Linked DNA regions of Pelodiscus sinensis. The protein of the gene in region 1 binds, or shares a complex with, the protein of each later gene. Links are inferred from orthologs where the notes say so. Each region holds a gene or a part of one and is shown on either strand. Other genes may lie near its edges.

Region 1 (10,735 bases):
CTGTGGGCAGTTCATTCAAACTAAGGAGGATTTTAAAATGGCGGCCGGACGGGAACATGCAAATAAAGCCCAGGATATTTAAATCCCGGGCTTCATTTGCAACTCCGGTTGCCTGATTTGCCTACCTCGCTTGAAGTAATGAGCTAGTGTAGACATACCCTATGGGAGTTTATTCCACAGGCAGGGGAGCTGAGAGTCTGGATGGGCCCTTTGGCAAGATGGAATGGGCCCGGCTTCATCCTCCCAGATGGGGTGGTGTGCAATGTGCACTCTAGTAGCAATTTAAAGGGCCTGTGGCTCCAGCTACCCCTATTAATACAGCAGCAGTGGCTGTGAGCCCCAGGTCACTTTGTAGTCCCAAACCCCCCTTTGGCAACTTCCCCCTTTGGCCTTCCATTGGCAGGCCACCCCACAGCCTTTGGTTAGCCCCTAAGAAAGATGTCTCCTGAGTGGATTCACTCTTTTGTAAGTTACATTGTGCCAGGGAAGAGAAATTGTTGATTACAGCAGGAGCGGTAAAAGTGCTCTAAAAGTGGGATGTCTGAACTGTGGCTCTACCTCCAAGCTGCACCACTTTTAAAACTGTCGCTCCACCCTTGTTCTGGCACCCCTTGATCATAATCTTCAAGATGGAACGTTATTCAATCTCTTATATGTCCTGAGTGTCTCAGAGGCCCCTAAAGGTGAGATGTCTGACCTTGATTCATAGTCTATGGGAAACAGCGGTAAGGAGCAAATGAGAGGTTTGATGTATTTGTGATGACTAGTGTTGCTAAGGAGACACACTACAGCATTTGGGACTGTTGAATTTCCTAAGCATTGAAGGCTTGCATAGGTATACTGCATTACTGGAGGCCAGCCAAAAGGTGACACAGCCATCACTAACGAATGCAGCTCGTCATTTGCTATGTCAGGATGGAGCCTCTGGGATAACTAGCACATACAGTGTTACTTGCAGATGCTGCTATAAGAGCTTAACATCAGTGGGGAATCCAAGAGCACGCGGATTCAGCTCTTATTCCAAAAAGGAGCTCAACTGTTGCTTATGTTTATCTCTAACACAGAAGGGCTATCATGTTCAACCAGCTTAAGTGAGGTTTCACCCAACCTCCTATTGTAATAGTACTTTCAATCAAAGGAGATTTCACTGTGGCTTTTCTTTGCTTAAGTTGTTTCAACCAAGTGTTGTTCACCCATGAGTTTATTTCACCTGCAATGGGCCATCTTAGTGATAGAGTTGAAGGATAGATAATACTGAATATTGCTAGCACCTCTTCCGTTGTCTGACACATGCACTTAATGGACACATGTAAATTTTGAATATGACCAGAGAGACATCCATCTTTATGGGACTCTATAGATGATGGGTCTAATAATAGAGGTGCAGTTTCCCCATCCCTACTCAGTGGGCACGTCCCTCCAAAAAGGACTCAAACTGCTGTAACTCACTACCCCTGATCTCTGCCACCTCTCTCAGGCTTGACAACAATATCTGATCTGGTCGATAACAATCAGTGCTTCAGAGATGTCCAGGATCCTAAAAATCGATGTCTGTTCTCTATCCGTTGTCAGCAGATCATTCATCAGTGCCACTAAAGTGGTTTCAGTTCCAGCAGCCACCATCCCAATTTCAACGTCCTATCACATTCTTCCCTGATTGGCAAATTCCTTATTTACTTCTAGCCTATGCTACATTTTCTTACCTATTCCCCACCCACAGCTGTGTCTGCTTTTCAGATCTCTACAATTCCCCTTTCCAGTCTTCTTTTTCCCTCTAACCAACAGAATTTCTTCATCATATCTCATCCCTCTTCAGATAATAACCTCAAAGCATTCCTGCTTTGACTTCCTCGGAAAGTTTCCAAATATCCTTGCCATATATGCTGAACTGCCTTTTATCCAATCATACGCTACTTCTGCAAATTTGTCCTGCTTGTGTTTATACAATCCCTCCAGGCCACATCTGTCCTTGTTCACTGTTAGTTATTATTTATACTCAAAACTAACCTGAGGCAAATTCCTGTTTCAACTCATCTCTTTTGTCTATCTTAAATATTACCTAAGCCTTGTTTTGGAGATAATAAACCTTTATAGACACCTCCATCAGCCTGTTGGGTGCAAGCACATAGCTTGTATTTGTTGTCTGGTCCTTGGACTTGCAATAGCAGAGCAGGCCAGACATTTTGAATGTGTTTCCATAGCTGTACAGAGATGGGATAGCAGAAGAAATTTCAGTAAGTTTATTAGGCACTGGATTTTCTGGTGAAAAAGTGGATGTTGTACTGGGAAGACATTTTAAAATTCTGCCACTTGAGAAGACGTCCCCTGCTCTTTTTCTCCTATTCAAAGAGGAGAAGGGATAGAATGTTGCAGTAAGTTTCCAGGGCAATTGGGAATGACAGTTGGGGAGTGCTCTTTGCCTCTCCTGACTTACCTCAGGATTTGTTTAGCACCAAAGCTAAGAGTGCCAAAGGAGGGGAAAGCACTGGCATCACGAGGCCCCTGGGAAGGAATAAAAACGACATGATGGGCTATGATGTAGTCAGCAATACCTAGTTTCAAGTGGTTAGTTAATTTTGTTTCTTCAGTGCTAGAATAAAAGCAAGGAATATATTCATGAACAGAAGTGAAATGAGCATTGGAGGAGTTTTGTGGTAAAGAGTGGCCTCCAGCACAGGTCCAGCTTTCAAACCAGGGATGTTAGATATTGTATAATTGAATAGTTTTGTAAGCGCATAAAGTATTATTGGTTACACAAATATTTGACAGTCCCCAGCGGTGGGGCTGACAGCCAGTGCGCTCTGGCCCCACTCCTGAGGAGTGCCCTGCCACCCTTTGCTGCTGTCTATTAGAGGCAGCAGTGCAGGGTGGCAGGCAAGAGCTGGTCCACGAGGGGAGCTGGTTTAAAAAACAGCTTGCCTCGCGGACTAGCTGCCTGCTGCCCTGTGCTACTGCCTCTGATACAGAGGTAGCGAGAAGGGATGGCAGCAGCCCCATGGGGGGGATCCAAGGTCTCCACGGACAGAGGCTTCTCTGCATTCTGTGGAGCAGCCTCGGTTGGTGGAAACCTCAAACCCCCAGCAGCCTCTGTGTGTGGGTAGCTCAGACTCTCCATGGGATGCAGAGCAGCGTCTGTCCACAGACAGCTCAGACCTCCCTGTGGACAAAGGCTGCTTCGTGGCAGCCTCTCGTGCCATCCTCCCCCACCTCCCATGCTGCTGCTTCTCAGAAAGGCAACAGCAGGGGGTGAGGGAGCAGGCAAATCTGGTATGTTCTTGAGGAGCCTGCTGAAATAGGAGGAGATAAGATAAGAATGGCCATACTGGGTCAGACCAAAGGTCCATCCAGCCCAGTATCCTGCCTGCTGACAGTGGCCAATGCCAACTGTCCCAGAGGGAGTGAACCGAACAGGTAATGATCAAGCGATCTCTTTCCTGCCATCCATCTCCACCCTCCGACAAACAGAGGCTAGGGACACCATTCCTTACCTATCCTGGCTAATAGCCATTAATGGACTTAACCTCCATGAATTTATCTAGTTCTCCTTTAAACCCTGTTATAGTCCAAGCCTTCATGACCTCCTTGGGCAAGGAGTTCCACAGTTTGATTTTGCACTGTGTGAAGAACTTCCTTTTATTTGTTTTACACCTGCTGTCCATTAAGTGCATGTGGTTGACAGGATTCTCAGCTTTACACTAATGTCCCTATTTCAAACTGCTCCAGGCCAGTAAGGTGCCATCCAAGCAACTGGTCTAGGCTTATCTGGTAGCTGAGTCGACTTATCATATTTCTCCCTCCTCCCCTTTGCTGCTTCTAATATAGAGGCAGCAAGGTTGGGGAGGAAGCAGGAGCCAGTGCTGGGAGGAGCTGGCTTAAAAGCCAATTCTCTCCCCTTCCCCGCACTGTATGCAGTTGGCAGGTGGGGAGTAGATGTGCAGCAGCGTTGCAGCTTTGCCTTTTAAATGTAGTAAGAGCTGCCTGTGAGTTACCCCCACTGTGGCTCTGCAGTTTAAATGTAGTAAGAGTTGGGCGGCAACTGCAGAGCCACAGTGAGGGAAGTGAGCACCCTCCCTTCATCAATTATGTTGAAAACAAAAAATGTAGATACCATGTAGATTCAAGCATGGAGGGTTTATTACACACAGCGCTGGCGGAGTGCCATCTTGCCACTTGGGCTCAGAAAACACTGCCAAGTAAATGATTACAATAGACTATATGGAGAGCTGATGGGCAGAGAGAGAAACGATGGGGCGGCAAGTTCCCAAGCCCCTGGATAGGTTGTAGCAGCAAGATATTATGAGCCAATAAGCCAAAAGTCTAAAAGATTACATAGTAACTCTGCTCACGGCTCAGGTTAACACAATTGCTAAACACAAGTATATGTATCCCTCTCCCCTCCCCCAAAGTGTGAGGCATACATCCCATATATTCCAATTGGGATATGTAGGAGTGGCAACGGTGCCTTCCAGATAGGTGATAGGAGTGGTTCACAGGTGCTTGTCTAGGTGATAGGAGTGGTTCACAGGTGCTTGTCTAGGTGATAGGAGTGGTTCACAGGTGCTTGTCTAGGTGGTGTAAAGCAAAAAACAAAACAAAGTAAGCTACACAGAAGCAATAGTTTATAATGTTACAAAATTAGCAAGTTGGGCTCATGAAAGGGGGGCACTATCTCTAGTTCCTTAGCAACAATTCCTGGTTGGCCTTGAGAGAGCAGCTGGGTGTCTCTTTCCCATGCAAACTGTGGGGCTCCTCACAGGGCCGTAACCTTGAGTGTATATGTGAAATTCATGATAGTAGTAGCCAATTGTGGCTTTTCGTTTAGCGTTGCGCTACCTAGTTTATAAGCAGACAGGGCTGCTGTTCTGTGTCCGTCCTGTTTTCTCAAAGCTTCCTATGATCCGTTTTGATGTCAGCTAGGCCGTGTCTCTCTGCTCCAACTGAACAGCAGGCTTTGGGGGAGGGACAGCTTAGCCACAGACCATAATTTAAGGTTTTACCTATGCATCAAAGGGCTACTGGCTACAGTGGCTTAAAACCCTGTTCCTACCACTACTCCATTAGCTGATTCTCCACCATTTGACATCCCTAGTGCTCACCCCAGGCGCATCACAGCCAGGGGCGCAAAGATGCAATAAGTAACACTATGCCACTGCTAGAGGAGAGAGGTGGATGCGCTAATATAAAGGAAGGGGGGGGGACGCATCATAAATATTCTGCCCAATACCGAGCGAGAGCAGGGTGGGCTGGGGGGGCGAGTAGCGGGCGGAGGAGCTATTTTGCTGCATGGGCGGGCGCAGCGCCACTGGAGCTTGCGAAGGTGGCTGGGCAGGGGCATCCCTCCTCCCCGCGGCTCGCACAGCGCAGGCCAGGCGGGAGCGCTGGCAACATTCGGCCCCGTCGCACCCCCGCGCCGCTCGACCTCGTGGCAGACCAAGCCCCGCCCCGCGACCAGACAGCCATTGGGAGACGAAGGCAGGCGCGCGCTTGAAGGCTGGGCGGGGTAGGCTGGGGAGGAGGCGCGCTCCGGCACGCGCTCGGGAGACCGCAGCCAGCCCCAGGGGAGCGGGGGCTACTGGGAAGTGGTGAGGTCATCACCAGGCGCGCCTCTGTCGCCGCCTTCTGACGTCGCCGCCGCGCTTCGCCTCCGAAAAGGGTACTCAGCCGCCGGTGCCACCCCTGGCGCTGCTGCCCCGCGCTGCTCGCTACCGGCGGAGGCCGAGGCAGCGGCTGCTGGTGCTTTGCCGCGCGCGGTAGCCGGGCTCGGAGCCGCTTTGCAGTTTCCGCTTCGTCTCCCCCCCCCCCTCCCATCGTCGGTCCCTCCCCGCCCGCTTTTGTCTTTGTCAGCCAGGTGGCTCTGCCCGGGTGAGACAGGTGCGGGCGGGGCCGCCCTGCGGGGGCGGATTGAGCGCGGGAGGGGCTGCGCTCCCCCCCCCCCCCCCCGCGATAGTTGACGTTCTCTCCCCCACCTGGGCTGGTTTCTTGCCTTCGGCCAACAATGCCTGTCCCGGGCCCCGCCGAGTGGGGGTGGGGGAAGGGCCGCCCTTGGGTTTCCCTCCTTCTGCAGCAGCTTCTGCGCCTGCTTGTGTCTGGTCTCGGTGCCTTGTGGTTTGGAGTGAGCCATGGCTGATTGCCTGGCCTCCTTCCCCCCTAGAGTCAATCCTGTCTCCTCTCTCTCGCAGACCCAGACCAGCAAGAGCTATAGGCTGAGGCGATGAGTCTGTTTAATCTGGACCGCTTTCGCTTTGAGAAGAAGACTAAAAAGGTGGAACAAGAAAATCCACCTACTCCTCTTCCCCCAGCTGAGATACCCTCTGCGCCTTCTCCTGCTGCAGCAGGCAGTGCTGCTGGTGGTGATAATGGTGGTGGTGGTGATGATGATGATGATGATGAGGTTACAGATGACAGCAGCAGGCCAGATACTCCAGCATCAGATGTTACTGAGAAAACTGGTGAGTTACATGTTTTGTGTTTAGCACAAACATATTGGCAATGTATAAGAGTAAAATGTCTGCCGCACTTACAGTTTTTCTTCAGTACTTCCATCTTCTCAGCTACCGCTACTTCATAATAATTGCCTTACAAATATCACAGGCTCTGCCATCGTATTTTCCTTTAAAAAAGTGAATAGAGGGCAGAATCAGGATTTAAAAGATCAAGCAGGGAGTCTGCTGAGAACCAGTAATGAAGTGCTTCATTGATTAAATTTCAAAAAAATGCTTGAAGCCCTTTTAGATAACACATGTACTACTCTCTGTCTCTCAAGGAAAGTATTCTAGAACCTTCAGACAACGGACGATGGTATATCCCTGATCCAGCCAGGCTGCAGTGACCCAGGAGAGCTGCAATTGGGGCCTGCTCTGGCTGGACTAGAGTATCCCTGACCACTGTGTGCTGGGCCAGGCCCACCGTGCCTGGGGGCTGCTCTGGCTGGGCTGGAATGCCCCCCCCCCCCCCCCCCGCCTGCAGCAGACCCTTCGGGGCTAGGACAACCCTATGCCTGTGGTGAACAGGGGGCAGTTCCAGCCTGCTGGTTAACTGTAACTGGTAAGCATCACCTGGTAAATGTGATGTTTACCCGTTAGCCATTCACATCCCTAGTCAGTATATTAATGTTGGTGACTTTTTGTTTGCTCTTAGTCCTCTTTTCCTTTTCATCCATTGATATGGTTGATTCTCTCTACATTTGACTTGCCTCCACCCTTGACTCTTTTGCTTCTCTCTTCCATCAAATGGCCTACTTCTGCTTTGTCAGTACCAGATTCCTATATTCCTATACTGCCTGCCCCAGCCCAACCCTGTTTCGGGAAAGGGTCAAGGCACCACATTAGTACTGGGGAGAGAGGCAAGGGGCACGTGGCTCCATGTGCTACTCCTTTTCGCCATCACCACTCCCTCAGCTCCCATTAGCCACAGTTCACCATTTCCAGCCAATGGGAACTGTGGGGGGAGAGGGGTGATGGGTGAAAGCAGGAGCAACATGCCAAGACTCCTTCCTCTCCACATAAATGGGGCCATCCTGGCTGCTTCTGGGAACGGGATGGTGGCATGTGGCTGGAGCAGTCAGGGAGCCTGCTGATTGCAATCAACTGAGAGATTTCCTAGGAAAGACCACTTGATCATGATTGACCAGTTTGACCGCTGCTCTATGCTGACAGAAGGACTGCTCCAGCCACATGCCACCATCCCGTTCCCATTGGTGTAGTTAATCCACTTCCGCTAGAGACAGTAAGTATGTCAGTGGGAAGAGCTCTTCCACTAATATAGTGTTGTCTATTCGGGCATTTTGGTCAGTATAATTACATTGCTCCTGGATGTGGATTGTACACACATCCCTGAGCAGCATATTTATACCAAAGTAATTCCACAGTGTAATTCCATAATTCCAGTCTCAGATGGTAAATTATGTGAGGTTGGATTATCTTTTGGTTCTGTGTTTGTACTTGATCATCTGTAGGGATTCTGGGTGGTGGTGGTAGTGGTAGGAGTTTAAGCCAGGAGACTCGTTTATCAGTTACTGGGTTGCCAACTTCACTCCTTTTTGGATCAGATCTTCAGATTAATCAGTGAAGATGATCAAACTGTTGTAATAGTTTTCAATTAAAAAGCAGTCAATTTAATAATCACATTTACATTTACCCCAAACCATGCAGACATGCTGAGCCAGCACTGATTCCCTGCCCCTGCCTCCCTCCCTCTCTCCCCTTGGCTGTGTCTGCACTGGCACGATCTTGCGCCAAAGTGGCCACTCTTGCGCAAAATCTTGCTTCCTGTCTACATTGGCCGTGTGTTCTTGCGCAAGTACACTAACGTTCTCATGTATGAAATCAGGGCTTCTTGTGCCAGAACTCTGACGCTCCCGCTCAGGAATAAGCCCTTTTGCGCAACTGTTCTTGTGCAAGAGGCCAGTGTGGACAGGCAACATGAATTTCTTTCGCAAGAAAGCCCTCTATCACAGGCAGCAGCAGGGGAGGGGCTGCTGCTGGGGACCAGCCTCTGTCCTCAGCCAGCCGGGGCTGCCATGGACAGAGGCTGCTTCGCTGCGCCTGCACCCACCTCCCTCCTGCAGCAGCCTCTGTTAGCAGGGAGCTCGGACCCCCGTGGACAGGGGATGCTGCCACCATGTGCAGCTGCAGGGCGGCAGGCAGCCAGTCTGTGCGGGGAGCTGTTTTACCCTATATCTAACATCGCTACTGTGCAAATGCAACAGTTTCCCCATTCCCTAACATAGAATCATAGGTTTGGAAGAGACTTCAGGAGGTCATTGAGTCTAACCATCCATGCTTCAGAATGTTCTTAGATTAGCATATGAATGAACGCACTTGTATAGTACTTAAACTAATGCAGGGTTTTGAAATTTAGAACTTGATTTGGTCTCTATATAATGGACAATCCATGCCAAGTGTAGTGTATAAAGATATATATTCCCAGTGTCCTCTGTTGATGAGTAGATGAGCTCTTGGTTTCTCGACCAGTTGGATTTTTCTTGTGGCATTAGGCTTGATTCATAGATACAGTGAGTGGCAATAGTTGAGTCCATTTGTTACAAAATAGGGATGTTACATTTCAATTCAGCAGCTAATTTCCATCAGCTACTCGATTAGTTGACAAAGAGGAGGGGAGACTCTTGCTATCCCAGCTGTGCCTCTGCCTTTTAAATGTAGTGAGAGCTGCAGAACTCTTACTTACTGGGAAGAGCTGTGATTGCATCGATGCGAATAGTCTTGCCACCAATGCAGATGGTAACTTTTCCACTCCATCCTGTTTTGTGCGGTTATTGTTCATGTGTTTCCATACATCTTCCATAAAGGATCCACCCAATGTGCTGGAGGCCTTCCTCTTGTTTTTTACATCTCGTGATACCAATGGATTATAGTGCTGTCCATCTGTTGTCTCTCGATCTGGCTATATGGCCAACCCATCCCTTTTTCCTGTCATCCATAACTTGGATGATATCGTGAACACTACTTCATTTGTGCAAATCATTGATGATAACTTGCTATAGCCTACTCACACCCACCCATCTTTCCGTTGCTCTTCGGATGGTTTGCAGCTTTAATTCTTCTGTAAATGTCGTGTTTAGGTGGTACAGCCGTACAGCATTACCGGAAGGATACTGGTGTTAAAGAGAGAGGCTTTTGTGGGGGTGGAAAGTTTGGTATAAACAAAAACACTATGCAGACTCCCAAAGGCAATCCAGCTCGACTTCCTCCTCCTGCTCAACTCTGGGCCCAACTCATTGTGCATCTGCAACTGTTGTCCAAGTTATACATATTGATCCACCAGCTTAACAAACAGTCCATCTAGCTGCATGGTGTATTCTCTGAACAATATGTGTTTTTCATCCACTTAGTTTTTATAGTGTTGATGGTTAGGCTAATCTTCTTCGCATTCTTACCAGTGTCAATGAGGAGGGTTTGCAATGTTTCGGGTTTTGACGCAATTAGGATAATGTCGTCTGTGAAAAGGAGCATCTGAAGAACCTTGCCATCAATCAGAAATCTGTCTTTCACTTCGATCTTCAGCAGGACATCTTCCAGGATGCTGGCCAACAACTCTGATGAACAAACGTCCCCCTGCTTTACGCCTTGCTTAACTTCAATGATCAAGGGATCATCAAAAAGCATGATTTCTGTAGTTGCATCCATCATGGAATCTTGAATGATTCTAACACACAGGAGATGCCCTGCGAAAGAAGAGCACTTAAAGCTGCGTTTTGTTCCACTGAGTCAAAGGCTTTTTTTAAAGTCAGTGAACAACAAGCATACTGGGATCTTTTACTCTCAACACCTTTCGATTATCTGTGTGAACACAAAAACATGGGCCACTGTGGAGAATCCCCTATGAAAGCCTGCCTGTTCCCTTCTCGTTTTTTCCTTAAGGGCACCCTCAATACGGGCATAGATCATAGATACAGGAATAATTTATGCGGGGTTCTTACTATGTTTAAAAGGCAGAGGCACAACAGTCGGGACTCTGTGAGCGGGGACTGCTTGAGTCCCCACTTGTGTAATTTCCCCCTCTGTTCCCCTCCTCCTGAGACGGTGCTGTAGGGAACTAGCTGTATCAGAGGCCGCGCATTTGGGAAGGGGGGAAAGCAACTAGTTAATTAGTGACTCAGCTACCCCATAAGCCTAGTCAACTAGTCGCTTACATCCTTATTACAAAAGCATGAGTCGCTGGGTAGATTAGCATCAAATAGGTGCAGTCTTCTCACCAGGCCCAGGTTGAAGGATGT
Region 2 (11,187 bases), on another chromosome or scaffold:
GGGGGGGGGGGGGGGGGGCAATTTTTTTTTCTAACATCACCGAGGGTTTCAATCCCATCGGCTACCCTTATCTGGTTTAGCCCGCCTGTCAAACCCATTGCCCTTGGTGTGGCCACTGCTGCATGCAAAGCAACTACATGGAGCCACAGGTGGGTGCTGGGTGCCAGTAAAAATCAATAAAGGATGGGCCACTCCCGAAGAAGTTTGACAAGCCCTACTTTAGAGGTACTACCCCATTAGAAGTACTACCATGCAACCCCATACACCCCAATTAATTATCTAGTGATTGTCCGTTCCTGGCTTCTGGTCACCAGAGCTTTAGAAACACCCAGAGCATGTACCCCTGAATATCTCTAGGCTAATAGCCACTGATGGACCTGTCTTCTATGAACTTAACTAGTTCGTTTGTGAAGCCCGTTATAGTTTTGGCCTTCAAAAGATTCCCTAGAAATGAGTTCACAGGCTGACTTTGCACTGTGTTAAGAAGTATTGTCTTTTGTTTGTTTTAAACCTGCTGGCTATTAATTTCATTGGGTTACCCCTGGTTCTTGTGTTATGACAAGGAGTAAATAACACTTTCTTATTCACTTTCTCCACACCATTCATGATTTTATAGGCCCCCATCATAAGTTCCCTTAAGGCAGTGGTCTCCAACCTTTTTACACCCAAGATCACTTTTTAAGTCTCAGAACAGGCGAAGATCTACTGCCCCGCCCCTTCCTTGAAGCCCCGCCTACATTACATGAGGAAATCTAATGTAAATGTACTGCGCAGGTGCGCAGCTCAGAGAGGGCTCAAGAGCTACTCTTGGAGCCCCTGAGATCTACCAGTAGATCGCGATCTACTGGTTGGTGACCACGGCCTTAGGGTATGTCTACAGTGCAATACTATTCAAAATAACTACTGCTATTCTGAAATAACTTAGTCAGCACAGCAGGCAGTTATTTCGAAATAGTGTCAAAATACTGTCAAGCTGGAAGACTTCTTACTCTGTTTTCTGTAACCCGCATTGTACGAGGAATAAGGGAAGTCTGAGGAAGAGTGCTCTATTTTGAAATAAGTGCATTGTAGATGCTCCCTATTTGGAAATAAGCTATTTCAAAATAAGATATGCAATTGATGTAGCTCAATTTGTGTAGCTTATTTTGAGTTAAGCCCTGCTGTGCAGACACACCCTTTGTCATCTCTTCTCCAAGCTGAAAAGTCCCAGTCTTTTAACTCTTTCCTTAAAAACAAGCTGTTCCATATCCCTAATTATTTTTGTTGCCCTTTTCTGTACCTTTTACAATTCTAATATATATTTTTAGAGATGGGGCAACCAGATTTTCACTTAGTATTCACAATGTGGACATACTAAGGATTTATATAGTGGCATTATGATATCTTCCATCTTATTATCGATTCCTTTCCTAATAACCATTTATTCAAACCCACTAGTTCCTCTCTTTTTAACAAGTTAGTGATCCATGATGGGACCTTCCATTTTATCCCATTATGAGGTATGAACTATAAATACCACTTCTGATTGTTCTCCTATCCTTGGTGATCCAGAAAAGAGTTTACATAGGCTAGGGAAGAGAGGGAAATAGGAGGGGAGCCTGAGAAGAGCCTGTTTGTCCAGGAACCCTGGGGCCATGGCACAGAGGAGAGGAAAGGTGTTTGGTGTGGAGAGAGATGAATGTCTTTGTCTGGAACTAAAGGAAAAACTATAGAGCACTTTAAAGACTAACAAGATGGTTAGTCTTTAAAGTGCTACATAGTTTTTCCTTTTGTTTTAGCAAGATCAGACTAACAGGGCTACCTCTCTATTACTGTTTGTCTGGAACTGTTTCACTTAACTGCATCAGCATCCGAATGGGCTGTGCCTTTATCACCTTTCTGAGCTGGATGGGAACCATTGTTCTCTATAGGGCTGGGATGACTCAACCCTACCCTAGAGGTCAATAGGAGTCTGGGCATCAATGGGAAACCCCCCCTTGACTTTAATGAGCAAGAGCAGTGGAGTTGGAATCCCACATCCAGAGCTTGCTGTTTCATATATACCAAGAGTCACATGTTTCATAGCTTGTGCAGGCTCAGTTCCTTGCATACCTCCATCTGCCCCCCTACTCGCTTCTTGGGTGCCATCTCTCCAGCCCCTTTGATTTCAGGGACTCTGCATCCTGCCTGCCTCTTGTCAGCAGCTCTCTGTGCCCCCCCATTCTCACACCACCAGGGGCTCAGTGTGTCCTTTCATTCCCATCTCCAGTACTAAAATTCCCCATTCCCCCCATGGCAGGGGCCGTGTGTGCCTCCTCATTCCCCACTTTCCCATGCCACCATCTCCCCATTGTCGTCACCCTCCAGGAGCTCAGTGTACCGCCTCAATCCTCCACAACTCTCATTCTGGGCTCTCCCATTCTCCTCCAATGGCAGCCTCTGGCAGGGGTTATATGTACCCCCTCATTCCCGCGTCCCGTATACTAGCATCCCCCACTGTCTCCATCCACCAGAGGCTCTGTGTGCCCCCATTTCTCTTATCTGCCCTAGCAGTCTCTCCCATTCTCTCCCCATGGCAGGGGCTGTGTGTACCCCTCATCCCCTGATTATCAGGGTCCTTCATTTCTACCCTACATGTCAGAAAATTAAAAAAAACACACAAAGCCCCTATTCCTGGAGAAATATGCTCAATTTTACTATGCTGGGTGTGTATGAGAGAGAGAGAGAGAGAGAGAGAGAGAGAGAGAATGTTTTTCTGAAAGCTTTAGTGCCTGGAGTTCTGGGATAAAGTCAGATTCTCTACTTGATTTTTTTTTAGAAAGCAATTACAGTAAGACTCCAATTGTCCGGCATCCAGTGGTCCGGCACTCCCGATAGTCTAGCACCAATTGGAACCCGGAAGTGCTCCGGCCAGCCGGACAATTGGAGCTGCTGTGAGCCCCATGGACACTCGCGGCTGGTAAAGGGCAGGGCAGAAGAGGGGAAGGGGATTATACCGTGTGATGGGTCCGCCGGAACCCACACTGCGTCAGGCTGAGAGGTGGGGAGTGGGCAGGGAATGACGTGGCGAGGGGTGAACCCTCTCCCGTTTTGCAGAAAGGCGGGGGAAACCCCACACCACTGCCGAGAGTTTCCAGGAGGGGAGCGGGTTCCCCACCCCCCAGACTGGAGTAGTTATTGCCAAGCAGGGGGGTAAGGAGCGGCGCTGCAGGACCAATCTGGCAGCACCTCAGCTGCTCTGCTCCGCTGCTTGTCCGCCACTCATCAGTCTTTTATTGAATTGTAGATGTACCCTGGGAGTTTCACAGGGGTTAAACTGACTGGTCTCTTTGTATTGTACAGAAATCAAATGGCAAAAATGAAGGGGGGGGGGAGAATCATGAGTCTTTAAAAAGCCCAATTAGCTTTAATGATCGTAGAGACTGTTGGGAACCCACGGCCAGAGTTCTTGTTTTGACCAATATGATTGTTCTTGGATTTCCAGGCCAGTTTCCATCAACTTCCAATATAGCACAGATCCATGGTGCCTGCATCCAGCACATGTTTTCTGATTGAGCTAGAACAGATCTTTTAGACAAAGACACCTGTTCTGGATTTAAAGACACCAACTGATGGGGACCCCTTCTCTGAAGGGATGGGGGACGCTCATCCCCTTGATGAGACATTTTCTGTGGTTAATGATATTTGTTGTTAGAAATCCAAGTTTTATTTCTTGTCTCAGTTTATCTAGCTTCTTCTTCAAGTCTTTGTGTGTGTCTACATGGCAAAGTTATTTCAGAATAGTGGCCATTATTCTGAAATAACTATGTGAGCATCTATACAGCAATTCCGTTATTTTGACATAATTTTGAAATAATGGACGGCTTATTCTGACTTCTGCAAACCTCATTCTACGAAGAATAATGCCTATTCTGAAATAGCTATTTCAAAACAAGCCGGCTGTGTCTACACTGGGCCACTTATTCCAGAAAAGCAGCTGCTTTTCCGGAATAACTTGAAAGCTGTCTACACTAGCCGCTTTCTTTTCCGGAAAAGCAATGACGATCTAATGTAAAATCGTCATTGTTTTTCCGGAAAAACTATGCTGCTCCCATTCAGGCAAAAGTCCTTTTCCGGAAAAACTGTTCCGGAAAAGGGCCAGTGTAGACAGCCCAGTAGTCTTTCCCACAAAAAAGCCCCGATTGCGAAAATGACGATCGGGGCTTTTTTGCGGAAAAGCGCGTCTACATTGGCACATGTACATTTCCGGAAAAGCATCCTGCCAATGTAGACATGCTTTTTCCGGAAATACTTATAATGGAAAACTGTTCCGTTTTAAACATTTCCGGAAAAGGGTGCCAATGTAGACACAGCTGCCGTGTGTAGATGCTCCACCTATGCTATTTTGAAATATGGCCTCACCAGGGCCATTCTAAGTTATTTCTCCTGGGGCTCTAAATTGACATAGCACGTCTACATTAGGGAAGCCTGCCTTGGACTAATTTTCAGGCTTCCCTGCAGCGTAGCTATTCTATTTCAAAATAAGCTATTTTGGAATAATTATTCTAGAATATCGTATTCCGAAATAATTTGCACTGTAGACGTAGCCATTGTGGGCAAGACTGAACAGTCAGAAATATCCTAGGGTAGGCAGACTTGCCAAATGATCCAGAATTATGTGTCAGGCTTACCAAAAATCATGTGGTTGGCTTTAAAAATCATGAGGGGATGCTGAAGTCATGCATATTGGCAGGGCTTGCTGAGTGGCGGCGAGCCCTGCTCACCAGCCATGGGGTTCTGCACTCTGCGCATGTGCAGATCGTTCTGTGCATGCGCAGATCGTTCTGCGCCAGCTCTTCCGGGGTGTAATCTATTTGCCACGGGCGAGTAGATCACACTATTTGTCAAGCCCTGCATATTGGTGTTCTTTTTATGTGCCTTCTGCTTCTGAGCCTTACTGGGATCACTGTCAGAGTTCCCTGTAGGTTGTGCACTTGGGCAGCCATTGAGGAAAGATTAGCAGAGTGCAAACAGTTGGCAGCATGTGGTTCTATGGGTGGTGCACATCTGCACATACCTTGGTGCACCTAACAACATTTATTCTGCACATAGATGAAAAAATTTAGAGAGAATATTTGTCATGTTTTCAAGATTTCACCACACCCACGGAGGCTAGAAACGTCATTTATTTTGAAGAATGAAGGCTGAAATCAGCACACACCCACTTGGTTGGGGCTTAAAGGAAAACAATCACTATCACGAGACTCACCACAAAATCATGAGATGGACACACTGGAGAGGCCACGATCAAGTCACTCTCGGCACGTACTCTGTCCTAAAGTTAGTTAAATGGATCAAATGCGTTTCATCGCTCACAGGGAGGCAAGTTTTAAAGATCCAGAAATGTTTGTGTGGCTTCCTTCAAACAATCACCAATGCTCTGCTTCACGGCCGCACTCTTATTATTTCTAAATTGAAATTCTGGATTCAGAGAAGAGTGTTGGAGTCAAGGCAGGGGGCAGACTTTGGTTTGGGCAAATCTGGAGTGATTCTCCTTTGGGTCAGACCAGAGTGAATCAGAGTGAGTCCACTGAGCTCCATGGGGTGGGACGCAGCATTGGGTCAGTCTGGAGTGATTTCATTGAGCTCAGTGGGGTGGGACCGGGTATTGGGTCAGACCAGAGTCGATCTGAAGTGATTCCCCAAAGCTCAGTGGACTAGGGACCCTGGGTTGGGTCAGACTGGAGCGAAACTGGAGCGATTCCACTGAGCTCACCCGGTTGGGGCCCTATATTAGGACACAGAGTGAATCTGGAGCGATTCCACTGAGCTCACCCGGTTGGGGCCCTATATTAGGACACAGAGTGAATCTGGAGCAATTCCACTGAGCTCAGTGGCGCGGGACCCTGTATTGGGTCAAACTGGAGTGACTCCAGAGTGACTCCTGAGCTCAGAGAGCAGGCCCTTCACTGGGTCAGTGCAGAGTGACTCTAAAGTTATTCCAATGAAGCGTGGGGTGGAACCTGCTCTGGGTCAATCCAGAGTGAATCCAGAGTGACTCCACATAGCTAAACAGTGTCCTTTGGGTCACTCCAGATTCACTCATAATTTGCCCCCACCCCACTTTGAGGGAAGTGATAAACCTCAGGGATTTTTTTTTGGGGGGGGGGGGAATGGATTCCCTCCCCCCCCATTCCTATGCCCTCTGTGGGCAGGCAGGAGCTGGGCAGCGGGAATTTAGGATGAAGTAATTGGCTTCAACTCCTGTCAGTCATTGAGTCGGTCCTGAGGTAATTCATGATCTGATTGGTTCTCTTTCCTGTCCGTCACAACCTACATCCCGCCTCCTCCTGGAAGGTAGGAAACCTGCCGGGTCCGCTCCATGCTAATCAAAAAAATTCCCACCCCCGGGGGAAGATTCGATGGCTGATTGGCCTCGAGACACGTCAATCACTGGCTGTTGCCTTCGGCATGCGGGAGGCGGAGCCTTATTAACCGACCGTTCTGAGGCGCCTTCCACGCTCTACTCAGGCAGGCCTGCCTCGCCTAAAGCGGATTCGCCCTCACCTCCTGTCAGTCTCTACGTATTCTGCGGCCTCCCGGCAACCGGGGGAGCGGATTGGCTCTCTGTCTTGTCATTCCTCACTCCTCCCTCCTCCCCCACCACCTCCCTGCCTAAGCCCCGCGATTGGCATCAACTTCAATCGATCGTTCTTTCTCCAGCCCTACGCCGAACGTAGGGAGACGCTCTCCCCGGATTGGCCGGCCGGCCCGACTTTCCCCTTGCTAAGCCCGCCCTCGTGGGCTATTTCAGCTCCGATTGGCCGTCGCTCTCTCCCTGTAGGAGGAGCGACGCCAAAGCAGGCAGGCGGGTTTTCTGCTTTTCTCTCCCCGCCTCCCTCCCCTCTCTCTCTCTGTCTCGCGCGGCGTGCGTGTGCGCGCGCAGCTCCCCTTGTCTCCTAGGCTTTGTGCAGCGGGGCCGTGAACGTTCCATCGCCGTTAGCGGCGCGCGCGCGGCCCTCGCGGCGAACGTCCCTCCGACTTGGCGGCGCGAGCGCGTGCGGGCGCCCCTCCCCCCTCCGGCGACCGTTGCGCTAGCCTCGCGGCGACCCTCCCCCCCCCCGCTTCGCCGGCAGACGCGGGAAAGGAGGAGGAAGGGGGGCGGCCGCCATGTCGGGCTCGGCGGCCTCGGCCGAGGCGGGCGGCCCCGGCGGGGAGAAGCGGCCGGAGGCGATGGAGCTGCTGGAGAAGTGCGGCGTGTGCCGCGAGCGGCTGCGGGCCGAGCGGGAGCCCCGCCTGCTGCCCTGCCTCCACTCGGTCTGCCGGGAGTGCCTGCGGGCCGAGCCGCCCGCCGACGGGGAGGCCGCCAACAATAAAGAGGGACAAGGTGAGCGCGCGGGAGGTCAAGTGGGGGGGGGGTCTTGCGCATTGTGGGGGCAGAGAAGGGCTGTGGGGGGGGAGGGGGGAAGGGCACTGGGGGGGCCGTGTGCATTATGGGGGGGAGGGGGGAAGGGCACGGGGGAGCGTGTGCATTGTGGGGGGGAGGGGGGAAGGGCACGGGGGGGCGTGTGGCACGGGGGGGGCGTGTGCATTGTGGGGGGAGGGGGGAAGGGCACGGGGGGGCCGTGTGCATTGTGGGGGGGAGGGGGGAAGGGCACGGGGGGGCCGTGTGCATTATGGGGGGAAGGGCACGGGGGGGGCCGTGTGCATTGAGGGGGGAGGGGGGAAGGGCATGGGGGGGGCCCGTGTGCATTGAGGGGGGAGGGGGGAAGGGCATGGGGGGGCCGTGTGCATTGTGGGGGGGAGGGGGGAAGGGCATGGGGGGGAGGGAGGAAGCACACGGGGGGGGCCGTGTGCATTGTGGGGGGGGAGGGGGAAGGGGACGGGGGGGAAGGGCAGGGGTGACCATCTCCCTCCTGCAAGGGAGGGAGGGGGTGTGCATTAGGTGTAAGGCCTCCACAAGGCGGTGTCCCTTCTGTAGTAGGTGGGATTAGGAATGGAGGGTGTGGGTTGAGGGCAGGAGAGCTGTGTAGTGGGCGTGACACTTCTTCCCCTGGAGTGAGATGGGTGGGGGAGGAGGTCCTTCCAGGGGGGCCCTGCCTGCCATAACCGTACCTAGGCACTTCCCTAGGACAATGTCTTCCCCCAAACCACTGCTTCAACAGACCTCCCTGAATGTCTGCCTCACCCCCTAGCAAGTCCTTCACTATCTCCAGGGTCCCATTCATGCCTCCTCAGTCTCCTATAGCAGCACACTCCTCCCTAAGTGCATCAGAGGAGTGCTCCCAAACTTCCTTCCCTGACTTGCTCTGTCCCCCTTAGTGCCCTGAATTAGTGGTCCTGTCTACCAGATCACTGTGTCCCCAGATTGGTTCTTAGTCTGCCACTCCTACCCCACCCCATGTGCTACTTGCACTAGCTTCCCTAGCACTATTCTCCTCAACCCATGCATCCATACCTGTCTGTTACACTACTAACCCAGTGCTTACAGGATTCTGACTAGATAATGGGGCAAGGACTTGGAGGAAATTCCTATATGTTAGTGAATACTTTTTGGCACAGGAAGCCTCAGGTAAGTGCTGGGTGAAAAGAGTAGCACTCCAGAGGGTTTCACACTTGTCTGCTCTTGGTAGGGAGCAGGGTTTCCATGAAGGAGGGAGACCTTTCCAAAATGCTCAAATGATTTAGATGCTCAAATGCTGTAGGTTTTCAGGCCTAATCTACACTGGGAAGAGTTGACTGGTCTTGTTTCACAGTAGGACTTCCATTATGAGGGAATGGAGATGTTCTGAGCATTTTGATGGTTCTTTCAAAAGTTTACAGGTGAACATTAAGTAAATATAACTTTGAAACTTAGGTATGCAGAAGAGATGCTGCTTTTTAGCCATGTCCGTTTAAATGAAGCAAGGATGAACAGTTTCCATACCTTGTCATAACTTTTAAAATGTTACTTTTTTAGTTCACATTTAACACATACAGTAGTTTATTTTGGTTTGTCTGCTGCTGCCTGATTGCATACTTCTGTTCCAGGAGAGGGGTGTGGTTGACCAGTCAATTTGTAACAGTTATATATAATTCTTAGAGGTTCTACTCTATTGGCAAACTCTCCTAAATACAGATGCACCTCATACCAGTTAACTATAGTTGCATCATATGATTTCCCAGTACAGAAATCATACCCTCAGCCAACATTACTATTCCAGTAAAGGTTTCTAGTGTGGACCTGGCCTCAGTGGGATTAAACTGATGAACTGCCAATCCAGTTCTGTTCCTCTAAGGGACTACCTGTAAAAGTGGGAGAGGTGATTCAGATCTGATTTAGGCACTTGTTTTGTATGAGGATAACATGGAGATGGTGATGATTATTTTAAAGAACACTGATGCAGTTTCCTCATTTGTGTACAGTTATACCAGTATAATGGTGCCTTATTCTGCCATAATGTATTCCTGATTGGCTGTGGAGGTACAAAGGACCTTTACACTAGGTATAACTGCATGCAAACGGGGGGGGGAAGGTGGTGTTCTGCTTTGTAGCAACATAATGCCATGGTTACAGCAACTCTGTCCTCTTTTTGACATCTAAGTGCACCCATTTTATTTATTTTGCTAGAATAAATAGGCCCCAGAATGTTAAAGGTGTTAAAATAATCATCTCTCTGTCCATTAAGGAAACATGTTTTGGTGGTTTGTATGCAGAGATCCTGGGACTACTTAGTCGTATGACAAACAGTGCATTAAATTCTTTAAGCAGGTAGAAGAGAAACTACTAAAGCATTAGAAATGTTAAATATTAAGTCTGTACAGGCAGTCCCCGACTTACGCGGATCCGACTTATGTCGGATCCGCACTTATAAACGGGGCTTTTCTTGCCCCGGAGTTCACGGGCGGCAAGTCGCCACCCGTGTCCTCCCCGGGGCGAGAAAAGCTTCTCCCCGGTCTCTCTGGTCTGCTGGGGGGGGGGGTCCAGCGGCTTTTCTGGACCCCCCAGCAGACCAGGGGGACAGGAGCAAAGCTGCCCAGGCAGCGGCTTTGCTCGGGTTTCCCTGGTCTGCTGCGGGGGGAGGGAGCGCAGCTAGTGCGCCCCCCTCCCCCCAGCAGACCAGGCTTTTGTTGCGGAATGCCTCAGGTAGAGCTGTGGGAACCTACAGGGCAGTGCCCCAGCTGTTCTGTCCCAGGCTCCAGATTCAGCAGCTGTTGAAACTGATCAGGCTGATTCCAGGAAGCTGGGGGCAGAGCAACTCTGCCTCCGGCTTCCTGTAGTCAGCCCCTGGTCAGTTTCAGTGGCAGCAGCTGAATCTGGAGCCAGTTCCGACTTGCATACAAATTCAACTTAAGAACAAACCTATAGTCCCTACCTTGTACATAACCCGGGGACTGCCTGTACTAACAAAATTCCTTGTTTACTTGTGCTGTAGAGTTTTTAATGAGGAAACTTGTTCATCTTTTTAGTAGATATTAAAGATGGTAATTGTCTTTGAGGGCAGTTGTTTGCCAGGTTGGAGGTGTAGGTAAAATCTGATCCTACTTCCAAAAACAAGACAGACAAATGTGGAAGGAGAGAAAAATAGGGAAGATAGAAAATGCAGCTACTTTGGTGCTGACTTATATATACAACCACATTGCTGGAGAAACACAGGACTACTCTGGTGTCTGATCAGCCACTTTGAGAACAGGCAAACTTGTAACAGCAATCAGGCTAGTTAGAATATGGCATTGCTTTCAGTTGCCTCTGTGGTCAGGAGCATATAGGTATTAACAGGGCTTGACAAATCTGCTTATCTACTTGCCCTTGATGAGTAGATTTGAGCTGGTCGCCCGTTCACTGGTTCGCTCATGCTCAGTGCGGGGCTGGTGAGTGGTTTTCACCACGGTTTCTCGAGCCCTGGGTTTTAAAGATGGTAATTGTCTTTGAGGGCAGTTGTTTGCCAGGTTGACAATACAAAATAAGTTGCTTTGATTAATCCAGACTTACTAAACGGGGCAAAAGGAAAGAGGAGATAAGTTGAAAGGAAAAGGATACCTGAAAAAGGGGGATAGCAGTAACCAAAGTCTTAAAACTCAAGCGGTGTTTGTGTTGAAATAGGTGAGAGATAGAAATGTTATCTTTGTTGCAGTCTCTAGCCTGGTCAGGACATTGAGGTCCCAAGAGACAGTGGGGGTGGCAGCCATAATGGTAAATTGTGCCCATTACATTGTCTCTTAGGCCATGTCTTCACTAAACAATCTATC

The links.
Region 2: the proteins of SMARCAD1 (region 1) and TRIM28 are in contact, whole or in part, in a crystal structure (PDB 6H3A), measured with the Homo sapiens proteins. The link is inferred for Pelodiscus sinensis from reciprocal best matches to the Homo sapiens genes SMARCAD1 and TRIM28. Residues at the interface, in NP_001362784.1 of Homo sapiens: Asp156, Leu157, Ala160, Lys161, Gln163, Thr164, Glu167, Leu168, Phe169, Asp188, Gly189, Ala190, Ala192, Leu196, Ala201, Gly202, Gly203; in NP_005753.1 of Homo sapiens: Arg330, Trp333, Thr334, Lys337, Ile338, His341, Leu376, Lys377, Ile379, Val380, Asp381, Val383.

Annotation. Positions count from the first base shown.
Region 1 is NC_134715.1:18,989,394-19,000,128, forward strand, and holds the start of SMARCAD1 (SWI/SNF-related matrix-associated actin-dependent regulator of chromatin subfamily A containing DEAD/H box 1), read left to right. Parts: upstream 1-5,513; 5' UTR 5,514-5,653; exon of another isoform or gene 5,654-5,733; intron 5,734-6,179; 5' UTR 6,180-6,211; coding exon 6,212-6,449; intron 6,450-10,735. UniProt on the Homo sapiens protein: DNA helicase that possesses intrinsic ATP-dependent nucleosome-remodeling activity and is both required for DNA repair and heterochromatin organization.
Region 2 is NW_027465849.1:2,731,188-2,742,374, reverse strand, and holds the start of TRIM28 (transcription intermediary factor 1-beta), read left to right. Parts: upstream 1-6,815; 5' UTR 6,816-7,128; coding exon 7,129-7,345; intron 7,346-11,187. UniProt on the Homo sapiens protein: Nuclear corepressor for KRAB domain-containing zinc finger proteins (KRAB-ZFPs).